2 linked regions of the Caenorhabditis elegans genome follow. The protein of the gene in region 1 purifies or fractionates together with the protein of each later gene. This does not show direct contact. Each region holds a gene or a part of one and is shown in the gene's direction. Other genes may lie near its edges.

What was found. The genes of interacting proteins can lie anywhere in the genome.
Region 2: the proteins of agef-1 (region 1) and F52B11.2 fractionate together in Caenorhabditis elegans (co-fractionation; one large-scale study listed by BioGRID). This does not show direct contact.

Annotation. Positions count from the first base shown.
Region 1 is NC_003279.8:13,624,327-13,628,082, reverse strand, and holds the start of agef-1 (SEC7 domain-containing protein), read left to right. Parts: upstream 1-1,857; 5' UTR 1,858-1,884; coding exon 1,885-2,023; intron 2,024-2,969; coding exon 2,970-3,286; intron 3,287-3,756. Other genes in the region: W09C5.1 (Ribosome biogenesis protein NSA2 homolog), read left to right, coding at 1-432, 1,342-1,419.
Region 2 is NC_003282.8:14,081,939-14,085,320, forward strand, and holds F52B11.2 (putative phosphomannomutase), read left to right. Parts: upstream 1-1,629; coding exon 1,630-1,701; intron 1,702-1,850; coding exon 1,851-1,974; intron 1,975-2,034; coding exon 2,035-2,603; 3' UTR 2,604-2,757; downstream 2,758-3,382. Other genes in the region: cfp-1 (CXXC-type zinc finger protein 1), read left to right, coding at 27-232, 881-1,086. UniProt on the Caenorhabditis elegans protein: Involved in the synthesis of the GDP-mannose and dolichol-phosphate-mannose required for a number of critical mannosyl transfer reactions.

The DNA of each region.
Region 1 (3,756 bases):
GACAGACAGCAGCAGACTTCAGGAACAGTGCTCTCGAATATGATTAAGCAGAAGAGAAAGCAGAAGGCTGGAAAGTTCAACGTCCCAATTCCACAAGTACGAGCTGTCAGTGATGCTGAAGCGTTTAAAGTCGTGAAAACCGGAAAAACGAATCGTAAAGGATGGAAGAGAATGGTGACAAAAGTCACATTCGTCGGCGAGTCATTCACCCGAAAACCCGCGAAATTCGAACGATTCATTCGTCCGATGGGACTTCGTTTCAAGAAGGCACACGTCACACATCCAGAACTTCAGACGACATTCCATTTGCCAATTGTTGGTGTTAAGAAGAATCCGTCGAGTCAAATGTACACATCTTTGGGTGTTATTACAAAGGGAACCATCCTTGAAGTTAATGTATCCGAATTGGGAATGGTTACTCAAGGAGGAAAGGTAAAAATACACGTTTTAGAGCCGAAAATTTGGAATTTCTCATTGAAAATGAGAGCCACGTGGCTACAGAGGGTTTTGGTTGAGGCTCAACACTACAAACTACACAATTTGTGAGCCTCAACCAAGGATTTTTCGGCGCGTGGCATGATACTAACCGACCAAAAGCGCTCGAAAATTTGAATTTCTCCCTGAAAGCAAGAGCCACGTGGCTTCTGAACACCAAAAATGAATATTTGGTTGAGGCTCTCACTAGCCTCAACCAACGCACGGTTTGGTTGAGGCTGAGACTACAAACTACACTTTTTCTTTAGCCTCACAGAATTTTTCGCGTAGATTTTTCCATTTTTCTTCTACTGCGCACGATAAAATTCAATTTTTACGAGATTTTTTCTGTAGAAGCTTTCGAAATTTGAGTTTTAATCCTGAAAATTGCGAATTAACACTGTAAAATTGCCCCGTGGCGGTAGTTTTTCTGGAAATTCCACTTGGCAGAATGAAAAACTCTCGAAATTCGAAATTTATTGGTTTTTTCTCCTGAAAAATTAAGTTTTTACAAACAATTAGACTTTTTTCGGCATAAAAACCAAGCAAAAATATTATTTTTGAGTTGGTTGAGGCTCAATACTACAAACTACACAATTTGTGAGCCTCAACCAAGAATTTTTCGGCGCGTTGCATGATACTAACCGACCAAACGAGCTCGAAATTTTGAATTTCTACCTGAAAGTAAGAGCCACGTGGCTTCTGAACACCAAAAATGAATGTTTGGTTGAGGCTCTCACTACAAACTACAATTTTTCTTCCGCCTCAACCAATGTAATGCATGGTTTGGTTGAGGTTAAGACTACAAACTACACTTTTTCTTTAGCCTCACTCATTTAAAAAAAATTAATTTTTCCAATTTTTCAGGTCGTTTGGGGGAAATTCGCACAGGTGACGAACAATCCAGAGAACGACGGATGCATCAACGCCGTGCTTCTCATCTAAATGATCTTCTTCTATTTTCTCTTCTTCTTCTACCCACTTCCATTTCCACTTTTACTCGTTTCTGCGTTCATTTTTTGTTGATTTTATCATTGTTTTCTCTTCGTCTACACACACATTCAACCGGAATAAAGCTAAATTCCACGTTTCTATATCTGTATTTTCCACGTGTAAATTTCAGTGGTTTTAGAATATTGTGAAATTAAATATAACTCGTATATATTAAGTAAAGAGGACCTAGAGGTTGTGTAAAGCTATAAAGCTATTACGAAAGAGTACGCAAACACCGTGCTGACGTGCATACACCGAATTTGACGAGCAACTGGAACACACTCCTCTTACCCCCCAACTCGTTTCTTTTTTAATTTAATTATTTAATCATGTAGAAACTAACACAACGTGGCATACTTTTTATTGCAAAAAAATGCATTTATTTTCCAGAATGAACCGTGATTAATCAGCGCAAACATGAGCGAATTGTCAAACGGTCCGAAGAAATCGATTGGCAATATGTTTCTGAGAAGTGGAATCGAAAAGATACTCGCTGATCGGGATATCAAGCGAAAAGAGAACTTGCAGCTCAAAAAAGCGTGTGAAAGTGCTCTTGGTGGGTGTTTGGTTGAGAAATTGATGAATTTTCACAGTTTTTTAGTTTATTTCTAAGCTTAATTTCTTGAAATTCAGTGAAAAAAGCTGTAAATACATGTAAAAATCCCATTAAAATGTCTAAAAACATTGGTTGAGGCTCACACTACAAACTACATCTCACCAGCCTCAACCAATTGCAAAAAACCCCACGTTTTGGCTTTTTTGGGATTACAATCCATTTTTTCAAGATTTTCTCAGTTAAAAGCTTATTTCTCAGCTTAATATCTTAAAAATTCTGGAAAAAAGGTGTAAATTCATATAAAAATCCCATTTTGTCGTTGATTGAGGCTCACACTACAAACTACACGATTTCGCCAGCCTCAACCACATTCTAAACTCTTAATTTCAAAGAAAATTTGTTTTTTTTTCTCTTGAAAATACTAATTTTCAGCTAAACTTGTCAAAAAACGATTGAACTGTGAAAAAAAACCTAGAAAATTGGTTGAGGCTGAAAAACTTTGTAGTTTGTAGTCGCGTGGCCTCAACCAAATTTTTGGTGAGGCTCACAGACTACAAACTACAAAATTTTTCAGCCTCAACCAATGAATTCTACGTTTTTTCGAGAAATTTTCACAATTTTTGAATAAAGTCCCCAAAAAACCAAAAAAGGGGAATTTTTCGATCGGTTTCTGTCGAAAAATCTGAAATTAAAATTTAAAAAAGCGAGGAAATTCGGAAAATCACAATGGTTGAGGCTAAGAATAGTGTAGTTTGTAGCCACAGCCTCACCCATCTCGAATTGTGGTTGAGGCTTACACTACAAACTACAAAGTTTCTGTAGCCTCACCCAACACAATTTTTCATGAAATTTCAAATTTTTTAAAAAGAATTTTATTGTTTTAACAATTTAAAATCACTGAAATTTAGCAAAAAATAATATTTTTTGATTTAAAAATACTTTGCAGAAGAACTAAAAGCCGCGGAAGAGCAAGATGCCTCACCAAGCTCAAACGGAGAACACCTACCAGATGCGGGTGGCACCGCCGTCGAAGCCGATCGATATTTCCTGCCATTCGAGCTCGCGTGCAACTCGAAAAGCCCGAAAATCGTGATAACCGCGTTGGATTGCCTACAGAAATTGATCGCCTACGGACATTTGACGGGTCGTGGCGCTGATATTTCAAATCCGGAACGAAAGTTAATTGATCGAATTGTCGAAGCGATTTGTGCACCGTTTTTAGGTCAAGGAACTGATGAAACTGTACTTTTGCAGTTGATTAAGGTAGTTTCTAGCGAATTTTTAATGCAAAAATTGAGGTTTAGACCATAAAATACACATTAGAGGTGGTGTAGTCGAATTTTTTTATTGCCTTTTAGACTCAAAATTGTCTGAAAACACCGAATTTCGTAATGAAACTGGTTGAAAACTTCTCAAAAAAAGTTATGACGGCTCAAAAAATGGCCTAAAATTAGTTAAAATCGGAAATTTGACCGACTTGTCAAGCGGCTGGAAACTATTTTTTTTCGAAATCACCATCAAATTTTAAGTCTACAAATTGATTATTTTGCGTTTTAAACTTCATTTAGGTATTTAAAAATCGATGGATGGCGAGATTTTTAATTTTTTTAACCCAAAACTCGCCGTCCATCGATTTTTAAATACCGTATTTCTTCTATTAATATGGCTGCAAAACTATTTTTCGATGGTCTTCCCGCTTGCAATACTAATAGGGAGTGCAAGACTATTAGGGA
Region 2 (3,382 bases), on another chromosome or scaffold:
AAAATTGCAAATCAATCAATTTTCAGCCCATTCGGTGAGGAAGGCTGTCGAACGAAGAAGGACGCGTGTCACAAGCATCACAAATGGATACCATCGTTGAGAGGAACTATTGAGCTGGAACAAGCTTGTCTGTTTCAGAAAATGTATGAGCTGTGCCACGAGATGCACAAATTGAATGCTCACGCCGAATGGACAACGAATGCTCTGTCGATTATGATGCACAAACAGCCGAGTACGGAAAAATGCTCATTTTTTCTGCGAAATTTTGCGATTTTCGCGCCAAAATTACGGTGGCCGGTCTCGACACGACAATTTTTTGTTGGGTGCAAAAATGTGTGCGCCTTTGAAGATTACTGTAATTTCAAATTTTGGTTTTTTTTTAACTTTTTTATCGGAAAACTATAAAAATCACTGGAAATTCCGCTGCAACTAAAATTTAAAGTTCCAGTAATCTTTAAAGGCGCACAGATTTTTGCAGTTAGCGAAAATTTGTCGCGTCGAGACCAGGCACTGCATTTTTCGCACAAACTGCCCCGTGTCGATTTACGGGAATTGTGTACTCCCCGAGGAGAAGTTTGAGAATTTTACAGTTTTTGTCGAAAAGCTTGAATTTGGACCAATTTCTCTAATTTTTTTTGTATTTAACGGTCAAAAAGCCGAATTTGCTGTTAAAAGCAACTGAAAAAAATTAAAAAATTGGCGATTTCACCGTTAAATATGTTATTAATCAGCAAAAAAAATTCAAAATCTGGTTTTTCCAGGGAAAACCGCTTCTGCTCGAGGAGTACACGAGCTCCGTAAATCGACACATATCCCGTGTCTGAATGAGAAAATCCTCAAAATTTCACAGATTTTTAAATCTAAAAATGAAATTTTACAGATATTATTGATTCCGAGCAAATGTCCCTATTCAACAAGTCCCAATCCACGTCATCATCCGCCTCGGCTCACGGAGCAACGACACCAATCAGCTCAACATCATCATCATCATCATCATCATCAAAAAACGATGATGAAATGGAAGATACCGCCGAATTTCTAGCAAATCTGGCTGTACAGAAGGAGGAGGAGACGCAGAATAATTAAAATTTCCCTATTTTTTTTAGTTTTTTCCTCAAAACTATCATATTCTTTCATTTCCGTGGAATTTCGTATCTTTTTTCCAAATCTGAACAACATTTTTTTCTGTTTGAATAGGTGTCGTCCTGAAATATGGCGGAGAGAGAGAGAGTGAAGAGACGCAGACACTCTAACGACACGTTGCGTATATTACACGAAGCACTGGCTTTTTCATTCGTTGTTCTTCAAAATTTTTATGATTTTTATCTTTTGAACAAAAAACAAATTGAACTTACCCTTCTTTATATTATTATTTTATTTATTTTCTTCTAGTTTTCCAAAAACCTTTTTTTGTTCTATTTTTTGTTTCACCCAATTTCTCTCTATCGGTGTTCTTCATTTTGATCCTCAACTATTCACTCATCTCTCTTTATACATTTTGGTCTCTCTCTCGAAGAAAATTGACATTAAATGTATTATTTTCCATTTTCCGAATTTTTCAACAAAAAACTTTTATTCCAAAAAAAATCCTTAAAAAATTTAAAAAAAAACACCAAAAAAATTTTTCAGATGACTTCTCCAGCGAGTAGCCGAACAATTTTGGTGTTCGACGTCGATGGAACACTCACTGCTGCTCGTCAGGTTAGTCTGCGAGATTTTTGCGATACGGTACCTGGGTCTCGACACGACAATGCGCCTTTGAAGAGTATGTCGTGTCGAGACCAGGCGCCGTTTTTGGGGGGCAAAATTTTGCTTCTACATCTAAATTTAAAAAACCCCAACATTTTCAGACTATTACGCCTGAAATGCGAGAATTCCTGATCGAGGCTCGCAAGCGTGTCCCGCTGGCAATCGTCGGAGGATCGGACTTTAAGAAGATCACAGAGCAGCTGGCAGATCACGATAAGGATTTGTGTATGTCTTTGCTAATTTTTTTTTTTGAATTACAAATCCTAATTTCCTCATTTTTTCCAGTGCTCTCCCTGTTCGACTACACATTCTCGGAGAACGGGCTCTACGGATTCAAGGGCACCGAACCGTATCCAGTACAATCAATCCAGAAAGCCATCGGCGATGCGAAGCTCCAAGAGCTCATCAATTTTGCTCTCCGCTACATGTCTGACATTCAACTTCCTGTGAAACGTGGAAATTTCGTCGAATTCCGAAACGGGATGATCAATTTGTCGCCTATTGGACGGAGTTGCTCACAAGAGGAACGAATGCAATTTGTGGAGTTTGATAAGAAGCACGGAATTCGCCAAAAGTTCACCGAGCAGCTCCGCGAGAAGTTCGGGCAATACGGGCTCCAGTTTGCAATCGGAGGACAAATTAGTGTTGATGTATTCCCTACTGGATGGGATAAGACCTTTTGTTTGCAATATTTAGTGCCAGATTTCGATACAATTCACTTTTTCGGAGATAAAACCGCGCCTGGCGGAAACGATCATGAGATTTTTGCCGACGAACGGACTGTCGGACATACTGTTGAAGGGCCAGAAGATACTCGGAAACATGTGGAGAATGTGCTCAAGGAGTTGGATTAAGCTTAAATTATATTCTTTTTGTTTTTCTAGTTAAATATTTATGTAATTCTAAATACTAGTATTTATTTATTGTGATCCTTTTCATTCCCACTGGTTTCTTTTTTTTGGATAAACCGCAGTTCATTTTTCTGTGAAATATGAATAGTTTATGAAATCGAATTTGAACTGCCTGGAATCTAGGCCTGCCTACGCGCCTACACGGCGGACATGATGCCTTGTAGGCACGCCAAAAACTAGAATAAACTTACAGCGATCTTGGCTGATATTCTGATTATCCAAATTTACCAATTTAATGGGGTTCCAGGTCTCGACGCGACAATTTTTGTTATATACAATCAAGTGTGCGCCTTTAATGAGTACTGTAGAATTTTTTTAATCGATTTTTCAATTTTTAGATTAAAATAAATAATAACGAAAACTACAGTGCATTTTTTTTCCACTTCTACGACTTTAAAGGCGCGCGCATTTATACAAAATGATCCCGTCATTGGTCTCGCCACGCGCTCAACAAATCAATGGGATGCGCGTTTTTTTTAGTCGTAGAAGTTGGAAAAAAATGCACTGTATGAAAAATCAAGAAAATTCTGCAGAAACAAAATTTTGAAGTTACAGTAATTTTTAAAGGCGCACACCTCTTCGCAGTTAGCCAACATTTGTCGTGTCGAGACCGGGCACCGTATTTTTAGAGCAGCATTTTCTAAATTTTTCATTTGCAGATAATCTGGGTAATATAGCTTTAACCTGGCTAAGTTTAATATCATTTTTGGTTTGCTAGAAAA